2 linked regions of the Elephas maximus indicus genome follow. The protein of the gene in region 1 interacts with the protein of each later gene in a biochemical or structural test. Links are inferred from orthologs where the notes say so. Each region holds a gene or a part of one and is shown on either strand. Other genes may lie near its edges.

Evidence for each region.
Region 2: of the proteins of EGFR (region 1) and MUC1, one has a biochemical effect on the other in vitro, tested with the Homo sapiens proteins (2 studies listed by BioGRID). The link is inferred for Elephas maximus indicus from reciprocal best matches to the Homo sapiens genes EGFR and MUC1.

The regions. Positions count from the first base shown.
Region 1 is NC_064826.1:107,230,760-107,237,990, forward strand, and holds the start of EGFR (epidermal growth factor receptor), read right to left. Parts: upstream 3,018-7,231; 5' UTR 1-3,017. UniProt on the Homo sapiens protein: Receptor tyrosine kinase binding ligands of the EGF family and activating several signaling cascades to convert extracellular cues into appropriate cellular responses.
Region 2 is NC_064821.1:193,099,392-193,106,828, forward strand, and holds the start of MUC1 (mucin-1), read right to left. Parts: upstream 3,007-7,437; 5' UTR 2,926-3,006; coding exon 2,868-2,925; intron 2,352-2,867; coding exon 841-2,351; intron 748-840; coding exon 695-747; intron 558-694; coding exon 424-557; intron 279-423; coding exon 157-278; intron 77-156; coding exon 1-76. Other genes in the region: THBS3 (thrombospondin-3), read right to left, coding at 5,669-5,727, 5,816-5,955, 6,946-7,118, 7,361-7,437. UniProt on the Homo sapiens protein: The alpha subunit has cell adhesive properties. Can act both as an adhesion and an anti-adhesion protein. May provide a protective layer on epithelial cells against bacterial and enzyme attack.

The sequences.
Region 1 (7,231 bases):
AAGATTCACTCATCTCTGTAATCAGTCTGGAAGTGAACGTCTCACACCGCTTTATAAGCAGACTTCATCCTCATGGCTTTTCTCTGAAGAAACAGTAGCAAAAACAAGCGAATATTTCTCCCAAAGAGGTCTTCTTTGGTGGTGGTGTTAGCTGCTGTCCAGTCAGCCCCCGACTCAGGGAGATCCTGAGCACAGTGGACCTGATGGGCTGCAGATCAGACTGTTGTGATCCATAGGGTTAGAGTGCCAGACCTTTTTTCCTAGTTCATCTTAGTCTGGAAGCTCCACCGAAACCAGTCTGGCATCCTAGCTATTCGCCAGCCTCCACTGACAGATGGGTGGTGGCTGCACATGAGATGTACAGGACAAGAATCAAACTCAGGTGTCCAGCATAAAAGACAAGCATTCCACCACCGAACCACCAATGCCTCAGACCCAGGGAGTCCTAGAAGCTCAGAAATAAAGCAAGGCCTCTGTACTCCAAGTATATGGACAAATGATTTTTCATTGCACTCCTCCAAACATTCTTCCCTCAAACCACCCATTCCTATCCCTACCTCTGCTGCTTTTTAAAAAAGACTTAAAATTTTTTTTTACAGTAATTTTAGGTTTACAGAAAAATTGCACAGAAAGTACAGTACAGAGTTCCTCTATATCTTCCCTCAAGCCCCTGCACACAGTTTCTCCTATTACCAACATCATGAATTGGTTTGGTACATTTGTTACAATCGATGAAGCAATATCAAAACCTTGTTAGTAACAATGTATCAGTGGTCCATAGTTTACATTAGGGTTCACCCATTGTGTTACAGAGTTCCCTGGGTTTTGACGAATGTCATGTATCCACCATTACAGTATCATTTGTAATGTAAGTGTGGATAAAGCCTTTTCATGGGATCCTCTCTTTCTACACCAAGCTTTATCCGAGTTTGTTTTTAAATGGTGATAGCACATGGCCTCCTGGTTGATGGGGTTACTTCAAATATTGCGGCCAACATCGGTGACATGGAGGTTATGACTGCTACTGTGCTACTTGGGTGATGGCTTCAGTAGAGACTGGAGTGAGGAAATGTGAACACTCACCATCAATGCAGAAACTCAGGGAAGATTCAGCTGGCTGAAGATCAGTGTGCCCTGGACATGCAGACACAAGCAATCTTTGGTTTGACCTTGTTCTGCATCTCACTCTATCTCTTAGGAAAGCTGTAGCCTAAGCTGCAACTGCTACCCCAGAAACAACCAAAGCCCTAGCAAACAATGAAATAAAAAAGAGAATGGGGCTGCTGCCACTGGAATGTCTGAATCCTGTATTTGGGGCTCTGGTGACACAGCGGTTAGGTGTTTGGCTGCTAACCAAAAGGCTGGCAACTCAAATCCACCAGCTGCTCCTTGGAAACCTTATGGAGTAGTTGTACTCTGTCCTGTAGGGTCACTATGAGTCAGAATTGACATGACGACAACGCGTTTAGTTTTTTTTTTTTCCCTAGTCCCAGAAGAATGTTTTGATATGAAGTATGATGTTTATGAAGAATACGCAAAATAGAATGATGATGTTTTGTTGAGGATTTTTGCCTGTGGAAACTTAATTTTCAGACCGAGATATTTCAAAACAAAAAAGGCAAAACCAAAACTATGACTGTTCTTTTGACTAAGCTGTAAAAGTAGAGAGCTCACTTTAAGTTTTCAACATCATGTACCAATAATTATTGGTAATAATAATTAATTAACCTTTCAGGGACTTTGCTTATTAGGACAGGCATCTATTTGCTTGACTGTACATTATCCATATTGATGACTTCCTCTAATAAGTGGAATACTTTGAGATATTTTCCATGGGTAGCATTCTTGCTGTGTCCCTAGTTAATCCTGAAAGCATCTTAGGATATAACAGCATTTTCCTGCAGATATAACCAATCTGAGATTTTTTTTTTCCTCTGACCTTCATCATTTAACTCTGAAATCATGGATTTGGGTTCACTATGAATACAGCCCTACCATGCACGAGCCATTACAGTAGGTGCTGTATATCCTTTTCTCACTTCAATGCAAGAGCAATGCTGACAGAGAGATATCATTATCTCCACCATAAACCCAAACAAATCGCCATTGAGTCGATTCCGATCTCATGGCAACCCCGTGGTGTGTCGGAGTAGAAATGTGCTCCATAGGGTTTTTAATGGCTGGTTTTGCAGAAGCAGATTTCCAGGCCTTTCTTCCAAGGCACTTCTAGGTGAACTCAAAGCTCCAAACTTTCAGTTATTAGCTGAGCACAGGAACCACGTGCATCACCTGGGGACGCCATCCCCACCATACAAGTGAGGAAAGTGAGGATGGAAAACTGACCCAAGACTCAGTGTTTACTGTTTATAGCTGAGCTATCAACATCAGCCTGTCTGATCGCAAAACATCTCTGCCTCAGCATCCTGCCTCCCAGAATTACTAACCTCAAAATTGAGTTCTGTAATTTCACCTCTAGCTGAATGTATTTTTTATTTTTAAGTTTGGGAATGTCTATGTGAAAGAAAAATTTTGTGTTCTTTTGTTTTGTTTTTACTGCATCATTTTCAGGCTTAAGAATCACATGCATATCAGTCTTTGTTCCAGTTTATTTGAAAGGAAGGGAAACTGTGCAACTAACTTTGGGGACAGCCAGAACAGCGTGGCATTTAAGGAGTTGTCCTAAGCAGGTGCTCTCGTCTCTAAACCCACAGCATCATGGGTTACAGGAGAGAAGCAGCATGAGCTCCACCACCAGCATACCAGGAAGGAAGAATCTGTACACTTAGTTTGCTAATATTAATCTAAGAATCAAAGCTTCTGAACTGCCCTCTTTGTAACGTAGTGAACAGAACCTGACAGTGAAAAGCAATGCCTTTGCAATATGCTGAAGATGATTTGTTACGATGAGTGATCAACTAATCTACTTATAGAAATCTTGGCTTTATACTTTGTTTCCTTAGAACCAAGGTTTGTCAGGTGCAGGCTGACTGTTCTCCTTAGCACGAATTCGATACTACCTCCTACTACCTCCTAGCCCTGTCTCTCCTCTGCTGACGCCAACTTGCCAGAGCATGCTTCACACAAAATCTTTCTTTGTATTAAAAAAAAAAAAAAAAGCACTGCAAAAGTCTGGAAAGTATAGGAGGCAAGACAATGTCACAGCAATATGACCAGAGAACTAATTCTCCAGTTACCAACTCTCTGAGTTTTAAGACAGGGCTTGTAATTTTCAGAAGCCAAACTAGATTGTGGTTATTTACAAATGTTCCTTATACTTATGAGATGAGAACAACTCCTGCTGAGAAGCAAAAGTCTCTCCAAATTGAGGGAAAAGCGCTCAATTGCAAAAAAGAAGCAAGAAAGGACTACAGCATAACCTATAGGGTAACTTCTCCAGACGCCCACGGCCCAAGGAGACATTTTTAGTGCCTTATACAGTTATCTCATCTGCACTGTATCCCCCCTCCCTAGGTTGTTTTATATATACCAAAAATCAAACCCGTTGCCGTTGAGCCAATTCCAACTCATAGCGACCCTGTTGGGCCAAGCAGAATTGCCCCATAGGGTTTCCAAGGTGCGCCTGGTGGATTCGAACTGCCGATCTTTGGTTAGCAGCTGTAGCACGTAATCACTACGCCACCCAAACCAAAAACCAAACCCAGTGCCATCGAGTTGATTCCGACTCATAGTGACCCTACAGGACCCAGTAAAACTGCCCCACAGAGTTTCCAAGGAGCGCCTGGTGGATTCGAACTGCCGGCCTTTTGGTTAGCAGTTAACCGCTATGCCACCAGGGTTTCCACTATGCCACCAGGGTTTCCTAAATATATATATAGATGTAGGTATATAGATATATCATAAAATTTGCTACTTAACCATTTTTAAGTGCAAAAGTCAATGGCATTCATTATATTCACAATGCTGTGCATCCATCACCATTATTTGCCTTGAATTTTTTTTTCATCATCCCAAACAGAAACTCAGTACCCTTTCAGCAATAACTCCTCATCCCCCTTCTGCCTCCCCTAAAGAGAGATCTATTTAGGTCTCTATGCATTTGCCTATTCTAGATATTTCATATAAGCAGGATCATATTTGTCCTTTTGTGTCTGACTTGTAGAATGTTCTCAAGGTTCATTCGTGTGTGGGACATATCAGGACTTCATTTCTGTTCATGGTGAAATCCCATTCCATGGTGTGGATTACCACATTTTGTTTATGCTTTCAGCTGTTGATGGATGCTTGAGTTGTTTCCACCTTCTGGCTATTGGGAATAGCGTTACAGTGTACAAGTATCTGGTTGCGTCCCTGTTTTCATTGCTTTTGGGTATACACCCAGGAGTGGAATTGCTGCACATTGTGTTTTAATCATGTAGTCATTAAGAGGAAAATTACGTTAGAAACAGTATGTAACTTTCTGGAATAGTTCATCTTTTTCATAACAGGGAGAGACGCCAAGAATCCCTGAGCTAGAAAGGAAGGCTGGAGCAAAAAGGTCTTAGCAGCAGAGGGTAGTCTGGGAATGACAGAGGCCATATGACTCAGATTTGTTTAGTAAAAGAAATTCCACTTACTGTACTGTTCCTCAGTGCCTTCAGCACTGCTGTCTGTATCAAAAGCCTGTGGGTACAAAGGTGACGTGAAAAACAAAAACACGCTCACTTTTCTCTTGGGGAACAATGCTGCATGTCCCCTAATTCCCCCAACACCGTCTGGTCTCTATCTTGCTCTGCTGACCTCCTCTCTGGCTTTATTCATAGACCTCTCCTTGGCCAGAGTTAACATGTTTGCGGTATGATTCACTGTGCCATGATTCCAGGCTCTTTTCTGTCCCTTTTGCAGCAGGAACCTTTTAATGAATATTCTCAAAAATGGGAAACAGGCTGTCAGTCTTTAATGACTTTCCTGTTCTTGCTTTATATGTGTCATCTTAAAATACAACTGATCTTTTTAAGGATACAAATGTGTTTGTTATCACCCAGACAGTTCTAGTGAGTAAATTACTCTTCCGGAATAATAAATGAGAGGCTTTTGAAAGTGCATTAACTGTTTAGATTCACCCAGCTCCGATCAACTGCTCAGGGAATTTCCACCCGGCTCGTGAGTCACCAGCAAAGGTTGCTGGTCCACTCCTCTCCTCCTTAGGGAGTGATTTAATAAGTCCATCTAAGTGTTTACACATTAAAATCCAGAGTGCAGCAAGAATCTCCAGTCACAGTAAGAAATTCCAGAGTTACATTTCTGAGAAAGTAGCAAGAAAATTCCGAATCTAACCCTCCCATTTATCAAGGAACCAAAAAATGTCCTCTTCCAGATACTTCACACTGACTTCTGTATGCCCCGAGAGTGCTTATTTGAAGAGATATGCCTTCTAATTTAATTACATTTTATCTGGAGCATGATGCATAGTTGAACCTTTCCATGGGGATGCAAGTGGTCACGCTGACCAGCAATACTGAGCCACATCAACCTCTTGGGCTACTGGTCAGCGAAACCAAACCAGGTGCCGCTGAGTTGATTCCGACTCATAACGGCCCCATGTATAGCTGAGTATAACTGCCCCATAGGGTTTTCTTGGCTGTAATTTTTTTATTCAAGCAGATCATCAGGCCTTATCTTCCACAGCACCGCTGGGTGGGTTTGAACTGCCAACTTTTCAATTAGCAGTCGAGCGCAAACCATTCACGCCACCCAGGGACCTCTTGGGCAATTGGTACACGGGGGTTATTCGCACTTCTGAGCTGGTGATGCTGTGTGTATCTGGTTAGTTTCAAGACGGCTGCATCTCAGAAAAGGGAGAATAACTTCTGCGTTTGCTGATGGTAAAATACTTTGAGAGGATCTCATGGGAAGGGAACTTTTTCCATAACTGTAGGTTTAGCATTTGCTTAAAAAATAATTTTTTTGTTCATTACAGCTCCTCCCCCACACCTGGTCTTTTAATCTTAAACACACACGCCACCCCTCCACAATTCTACTGCCGTCCAGGGAATACTGTATCGTTCCAATCGCATCAGCACATATGGTTCCATCTCAATTATGGACCAAAGTAAACTAAAGGCCTGGAACTTAATGACTTCACCAGGGAAGAGGTTTCAAACAAGATCAAGGAGGAAGCGTGGGGGAGAGAAAATCTGCCAAACAGCAGAAAGGGATGGAAATGAGAGGAGGAATCGTGGCCAGTTGAAGGAGGCCAGCTTGCTTGCTTCCGGGCATAGATTTCTTAATTTTTCTTATTGTTTGAAACTTGACCCCTTCTGCTCTTTCCATTGGACCTTAAGTGAAGAGAAGGGAGATGCAACGTGGTGTCTGAGGAGCAAAGAGACTTTGGCAGCTTACAGGGCTGGGTTTGTGGTTTGGCTCGGTGAGTTTGGAGAAATTACTCAACTTCTCTGATCCTTGTTTCCTTACCTTTAAAAAAGGAGCCAAGATGCCTCTCTTTTTTGTTAATTTTAAGCACTAAAATGAGGCAATGATGGGCATAACGGGCAGTTCTGGGCATGAGCCAAGCATTCACCACGGGGTTGGATTCATATTGTATAAGCAAGAAAGGGTTCCATAAAGTTTGGGCTAAAAGCACATTTTCAAGTTGAGCAAAGCATTCCATTTTAAGTAGCTCTTCAAAGATGCCCCAAGACAGTCTCTGACATTTCCAAAGAAATTCTCTTGGGAAAGCAAAACAGGCAACTGGAATGCAGAACCACCACCACCACCACCTCCGTGGTAAAAATGCTAACAATGAATATGCAGCAATATGTGGTTGGCTCTGCCTGCTTCTCAGATATGATCCTACAGGCATGAATGCAATGAGAGCAAATACAACGAAATCATACTTAGAAACCTATGCACACCTTTTCATGCAGATAAGCAGTGAAGAAAGAGAAAAAATATGTTCATTCAAGCAATAGGTAATAAATGATAATTTATTTAATTGAATTGAATTTTTCTGCAAAGTATTTCTAGGCTGTGGTTTTACTCTAAGGGTTAAGAAAGGGGGTACGTGGGCTGTGGAATCCTGAATTTCTCTACTGTTCAATTTTTTCATGCCTGTGTATTATTCCAATTTTAATTTCTATGCTGCTAAAGCAAAAACTCCTGGGCCACAAATGCAAGTGATAAAGCTGCTGCTGTGAGTTGAAAATCCACTCTCCGTCACCCAACGCCAACAATCTACCCAAATCACCTGCTACTTCTTTAAAGTCTAATTTTCATACAGAAATAAAGTTTTCTT
Region 2 (7,437 bases), on another chromosome or scaffold:
TCATAGGGTGGTAGGCATCCCGGGTTGGAAAGATGTCCAGCTGCCCGCAGCTCTTTTGGCGGCACTGACACACAGCCTGGGGAGAGAGGGTGTTTTGGTGGACCATGGGACTCCCTCTGGCAGGGCAACTCGGTCAGGGCCAGAAACAGCACTTACCAGGGCAATGAGATAGGTGATGGCCAGTGCAACCAGGACACAGACCAGCACCAGTAGGGCAATGCCCCAGCCTGGTACCCCAGACCCAGGTGGGGCAGAGGAAGAGAAAGGCACCTCATGCGCTAGAAAGAAAAGTAGTGGTCAGGGCAGTCTCCCAAAGGGGGCAACCCTTCCCTCACCAGCTCAGAAGGGAAGAGTCAGAACCCAGGTGCTGGAGGAGAGGGCCCCTGGTGTGACGCTGGGCTGCAGCTGGGGAAGTGGCCTCACCACTGATTCTTGAAATGATCAGGTTATATCTGGCTGCTTCTGTTGCATGCTGACCAAGCTGCATCTCCACGTTGTCAGCATTGGTGGTACCCTCTCGGAAGGTGAGAGTTGATTCCACCATGACAGATCCTGGACTGGTCACAGGGAGATGGGCAACTCTGCCTCAGCACATGCTTCCCAACCACAACCACGAATGCACCAGTCCATCCCCACAGACGTGCCAACATCCACCCACCCTCTCCCACACGGAGTCCACTGCCCAGCACTATACCTGAACTTGATATTAGAGAGGCCCAGATAATCCTTTCCATAGATCTGTGAAAACTGAGGTGAGTGGGAAAGGACTTAGGCTTGATGCTAGAGGTTTGAGTACTGGCCGCTTCAAGGCAGCATGGTGGAGGAAAGGCAAATACTCACCAAATTAGAAATGTTTCTCTGCAGCTCTTGGTAGTAGTTCGTGCTGGGGTCTTCCAGGGACGAGTTAAACTGAAGGTTCAAAATGCGAAAAGAGAGGAAGAAAAAGGAGACCCTAATAGATAACTGGGAAGAAGTGCTATGATTGGAGGAGGTAGGAGAAACTATGCTACGGGTAGTGCTACTGGCATTAGTTCTGGAGCTCTGGCTGGTAGGGGTGGTGGGAATATCAGAGTGCTGGCTGGAAACTGGGGGTTGAGTACTCTTGCCACCTGGGGTCATATCCTTGGTGGAAGTGCCATGTTGAACTGGAGTGGTAGTTGAGCCTGAGGCAGGGCTGGTGACCAGGGTGGAGGTGCCATGGTGAACTGAAGTAGCAATAGAGCCTGAGGCAGGGCTGGTGGCTGTGACAGAGGTGACATTGCTGACTGGAGGGATGGCTGAGCTGGAGACACGGCTGGTGGCCGAGGTGGAGGCGCTGCTGAGGGCTGGAGTGGTTGAGCCTGAGGCAGGGCTGGTGACCAGGGTGGAGGTGCCATGGTGAACTGAAGTGGTAATAGAGCCGGAGGCAGGGCTGGTGGCTGTGGCGGAGGTGACATTGCTGACTGGAGGGATGGCTGAGCTGGAGACACGGCTGGTGGCTGAGATGGAGGTACTACTGAGGGCTGGAGTGATTGAGCCTGAGGCAGGGCTGGTGACCAGGGTGGAGGTGCCATGGTGAACTGAAGTAGCAACAGAGCCTAAGGCAGGGCTGGTGGCTGTGGCAGAGGTGATATTGCTGACTGGAGGGATGGCTGAGCTGGAGACACGGCTGGTGGCCGAGGTGGAGGTGCTGCTGAGGGCTGGAGTGGTTGAGCCTGAGGCAGTGCTGGTGACCAGGGTGGAGGTGCCATGGTGAACTGAAGTGGTAATAGAGCCGGAGGCAGGGCTGGTGGCTGTGGCAGAGGTGACATTGCTGACTGGAGGGATGGCTGAGCTGGAGACACGGCTGGTGGCCGAGGTGGAGGTGCTGCTGAGGGCTGGAGTGGTTGAGCCTGAGGCAGTGCTGGTGACCAGGGTGGAGGTGCCATGGTGAACTGAAGTGGTAATAGAGCTGGAGGCAGGGCTGGTGGCTGTGGCAGAGGTGACATTGCTGACTGGAGGGATGGCTGAGCTGGAGACACGGCTGGTGGCCGAGGTGGAGGTGCTGCTGAGGGCTGGAGTGGTTGAGCCTGAGGCAGTGCTGGCGACCAGGGTGGAGGTGCCATGGTGAACTGAAGTGGTAATAGAGCCAGAGGCAGGGCTGGTGGCTGTGGCAGAGGTGACATTGCTGACTGGAGGGATGGCTGAGCTGGAGACACGGCTGGTGGTCGAGGTGGAGGTGCTGCTGAGGGCTGGAGTGGTTGAGCCTGAGGCAGGGCTGGTGACCAGGGTGGAGGTGCCATGGTGAACTGAAGTGGTAATAGAGCCGGAGGCAGGGCTGGTGGTCTGGGTTGAGGTGCCAGAGTGGGTTGGACTTCCGCTCTGTTCGAGAGCTGTGGAGCCAGAGATTGTAAGAACCGTTACGGAAGTGGGGGTGGTGGCAGGTGTAAGAAATTGAGGCCACAGGGTTGGAATTGGAGGACAAATCAGAGCAAGAAGAAAATACAACCTCTGGCAACTGGAGAAGTAATGCCAGGAGGATTTGGGGAGTGGGCCGCTGGCCAGGCAGCCCCTGGGTTGGCTCTTCCTGCCAGCAGCCTCCCTCTCCCTTCAGTGCCCCTTTGCTCCCAGCTTGTGCATTTCTCCACTCCCATGACTTACCTCTCCTGACTTCCCTTCCCCCCAAGACTTCTCTCCAGGACATTCACCTGTGCCTGACACCGGCTTTCCTGGGGGCCGCCTCTTTTCAGCCTAGCCTCGTCTTCTCCCCTTCATTCTGGTTCAGACTGGGCCACCCCTGTCTACAACTCCTGCCTCTCATGGTACTATCTGCCAGGAAGCAAAGCCCACAGAAACATCAGGAAATGGCATGATCAAGACAACCCCCCTCCCCACCTTGTACCCCTCACCTGTAAGCACTGGGAGTAACAGCAGGAGGAAGAAATGGGACTGGATGACTGGTGTCATGGTGGTGGTGAACTGGCTGGGGAGGGGGCAGAGCAGACTCAGGCAGGCACTGCTTGTGTGTGAGGTGAGGTGGAGCGGGCACAGGTGCCTGCCTGCTGCTTTATACCGGTCCCCCGCCCCGCCTAGGCCCAGCAGGAGCAGGTGACAGGTAACAAACTACCACCTCCTCCCCCTTTTCCTACCTCTTACCTCTTCCTCCTCCTCCCCAACTACTCCTGGCCCCTCAGGTACACTGGCTCCAATCACTCAACCCTCTGGACAACTTGTTTGCTCTCCAACTGGCCTCCCCCTTTTGCCAACCACTCCCTAGCCGCAGGAGATGGGAAGGAGGGAGTCTGGGACCTGGGTCCCCATGGCTCCAGTTTTGGGTCCAGAACAACAGCTAGGGTGAGAGAAGGAAACAGAGAAAATGGGCTAAGTCAAGGTCCTAGACAGCAAGGCTCAGAAGCCCACCCCTAAACCCTCCACTCTCATATCCCCACTCTTACTGGGTCCACTCTGAGAACTGAGAAAAAAAATAAAAAGGGTTTAATAATTAGTGGACTGACTACTAGTTGTGGACTCCCTCCCCCCTACCACTTCCCGGAATAGCCCCACCCCTCTAACCGCTCCCTGTCCTGTCCTGTTCCACACGCGGTTTTACCCCGAAACCTGTAGTCCCCGCCCCGGCCAGACTTTCCAGCATCCTGGCTCTCTGCTTGGCTTTCTCCGTAACAGGGGGCGGGGAAAGAAATTTCCACGTAAAGAAGGACGAAACCTGGGCTCCGCTGAACCCTAGGGTCTTTCCTTCCCAGCCTTCCACCTTCCACCTGCCAGCGCGGACGGCCAGCATTGCTGGCCCCGCTCTCCTGCCCTCTAGTGGTCACGCGAGCCTCGCGGGGCTGTCCCGGGCGGGCTGAGAGACTGGCCCGGTCCGGGGAGAGGAGGTTGGGCTGTGCTGCCTGAGAGGGGCTTGGAGAGAGCTGCAGAAGGCAGGGCCCCGACGGAAGGGTCAATGCCAGGGGCAGAGAAGGAAAGTGCTGTGCGATGGAGGGGCTGGGCGCTTCAGGAAGGGGACTCTGGGGCGCGTGGGGCAGTGTCTGGAAGAAATGGCGGTAAGTGGGTGGGGTCTTGAGGTTTGTGAAAGGGGCACCGAGTAACTTGGGAGACGACATCGCAATGTGGGAGGGGGAATGGGACAGAAATATGTAGGGGCAGTTACGTATTTGAAGCGAAGAGTAGGTGGGGCGACGGAATGGTATGTGAAGGCATTTTGGGGGACAGAACTAACTTGGAGACTAGATTGGTATTTGGGGAAGGCAGGCACTTGGTGGGGGGCAGAGTTGTATGTGAGGGTGCGTAATTTGGGAGGACCGAGAGGTATTTTGAAAGGCAGAAATAATTTGGGGGGGGGCAGAGAGGTATCAAGCCACTGCGGCACGTGGAGCTCAGGGTATCAGACCCCGTTCGGTGGTCCCGAGTTGCGGTCTAAGGCTGATAAAAGTAGTTACGTCTGTATTAGGAAGACATTTTTATCCCCAAGGAGTACAGATTGAAAAATAATACTTCAAAAACACCTCGGTGCGGCGCAGGATTGAAGGGAAGCCGGGCCAGTAAGCACGGGACCACCGTTGCCGCCCGCACGCTGCTCGGCCTGGTTTGCGCCGCTTTGTGCGGCCGCGAGACCCGGGGGCGGGTGCGGGGCAGGGGGAGCGGCTGACGTCAGCGCGCCCGGGCCGGAGAGGCGGGGACGCCCCCCCACCGCCGGCTACAGACAGCACGAGGATCTAGGTGGGCGGCCCCAAGCGCCAACCCCGCCGTTGCCAGGCAACAGCCATTCAGTTCGGTTGCTGGGACACGCGTTACCATGGCGACAAGTCTGCGCCGCGCAGTCTGAGTATTTAAAGAGCAAGCGCGCGCAACGCCCGGGCATCAGAAAGCGGCCTTCCGGGGTCTCGTGGTCTTTTTTTCATCCCCTTTCCCGTTCCTTTTACCCTACTCCAGGCTCCAAATCTCTCTGGCCTTCAAGGGGAACCCAACTCCCAGCCCACCCCCGTTTCTCAGGCCGGTCCGGCTTCAGACGGTGGGGAGCGGGATCCCGGGCCCCGGGCGGGCGGGAGGGACGGGACGCGGTGCAGTGTTGTTCTTTCCCCCGCCAATATTGCACTCGTCCCGGCCTCCGGCCCCCCCGGCCCCCCGGCCTCCCCCTTACCTCAGCGGGGCAGCTTCCGCTCTCCTGGCTTCGACCCCGGCTATCTAAGACAGACTGGAGTGTTGCCGCTGCCGCCGTGAGTAAGTAGGGTGGGGAGGGCTGTAGGCATCCTCCGAGCAGCATCTCATCCTTCACCTAACCCCATCCGGCGCCTTCCCCACCTGCGCCCCAAACTCTGCCAAATTTCCCCTAGATCTCTTAACTTTTGTCCTACCAAGCTTCTTCCCTTCTCCCCTTCAGGTTCCTTCCTGCTCCCCGACCTATCCCGGCAAATCCCTAAAATAAGCAATTGCACTAGGTTAGAAAACAACTGGAACTTTATGGCAATGTGCTGTTATCTTTCCTGGGGTGTTACCTTTTCTGGGGTGAGTGCCTGAGAAATACCCCTTGAAAATGTCCCATCCCCAACCCCTATGGGGCTGAACTCCTGGTGGGTGCCAAAGGAGGGTCTGTGTTTGGCTGAGGGGCTGCAGATTAGACCCTAGGGTCTCCAGGATGGACCCCGAGGCCAAAGGGTCTAAAATCAGGATTCTGAATCCGGTGGCCACCTCCTCACACCCTTTCCTGGAGCAGCTGCCTCCGGAATGGCTCAAAGTCCTCTGGCACTGTGTCTGAGGAAGGGGAAATGAGTAAGGTCAGAAGATGTGGCTCTCTCACAAGGGCATGAGGGGTCAGGTGGATCTTGGTCTAGTGCCTCACCATTGCATCGATACTGGAGATTGGACCAAATGATGTTTTCTTGGGAGAAGCAGAATACACCAAGACGCCCCCCTCGCATGGATGTGTCAATGATCACCCCAGAATCTGCCACTAGCTGGGGACCCTCATAAAGCTTCACCCTGTCCAGGAAAGGGGGTCCATTGGTGCTGGGATGCCAGTGGTCACTGTGCCACCATGCCCTGGTCCTGCTCACCCCCAGTCCCCCTTGAATTCACCAGGCTGCAGAGAGAAGGGAGGGAGGGGGAGGGAGAAAGGAAAGGGGAGGGAAGGGGGTGCTTTTCTCAGGCCTGGGGCCCCTGGCTCTTTGTCCAGCCCCCTTTGCATCTCAAAGCACCAGCCGCATTTCAAGCGAGGATTGGGTTGCCATGACGATGAGCACAATGGGCTGGGGGGTGAAGTCACCCGCTTCCCAGGCTCTAGTCCACCCCTCCCTTATCCCCTGCTCTGGCCCCCCACAGCCCCAGGCACCTTAAAGGGGAACTAACCCAGATCCCTGGACTCTGGGTTCTTGGCCTTAGAAAGTCCACCTCCAGTCAGACCCATTTCCCCTCCTTTGCTTGTCAGTGGCTTTCTGCAGTTAGCAGCCCCAGCTCCCCACCAAGTGGGGGCATTTGTCTGAGGAAAATGTAAAGTTATGGACAAAGTGCTGAATTGAGAGGCCTCAGCTGTTGCTACTCAGAGCTGTGAAGTCTGGGCCTGGGTTTGTTCTTCTGTAAATGATGAACCCTTCCAGGTCAGACTTAATGAGGCATGTTTGGGGTTTGGAGAATCCCAGATAATCATTCAGGCCATCTAGCCTAACACCCTTATTTTACTGAGGGGAAATGGGGCCCAGAGGAGGAGGGACTTGCCCAACATTGCACATAAGTCCTTGGCAGCACCAGCCAGAGCCCCTGCAGCCTGACCAGCCAGAGCCCCTGCTGCCTGATGGTAGGAGGAAAGCAGAGCCAAGGTGGCATGTCTGTGGTGAGAGGGATGATAGAAGTAGCCCAGTCCTGGCCCGTGGTACCAAGGAATTGAGGAAAGAGGAGTCACCGGTGAGTCTCAGCTAAAGGGGAAAGAAAGACCAGGCCTGGGGTCCCCTAGGAGAGCTCAGCCCCTCCCCTCACCGGATGTAGCCAACTTGAGGCCGGTGCAGCAGCTGCCAGCGGTAGGAGGTCTTGTCACGCCAGCCCACATTTCGTGGGTCAGTCCACAGCAGCCGTACCTGATCAGCGGTGTGGCCGGTATGCCACAGGGCATTCCGGAGGTGTTCGCCTGGCCCAGACACTGATGTCACTGCCTGGGGGGCAATGACAAAGCCAATGGGTCAACTACAGGAATCAGAGTAAGGGGCGAAAACAGGTGGTAAGTGTAGTTGGGGAAAGAGCGTGATCAGGAGAAGGTTCCGGTGCCTCAGACAGCAGACCTCCAGGCCAAGTGTCTGAGTAAAGGGGTTCCCAGTCAGGCTGTGGGGGCGGTCCTAGAGTTAGAGGGGAAACTTTGGAAGGGGTTCTGGGTGGGGGAGTCTGGGCAACTGGGGACCTTGAGCTGCAGACCAGGCTGGGCAACAGCCCGGAAAGGTGTGGCCTGCCAGTAGGTTTGCTCCGTCTGCTTCCACA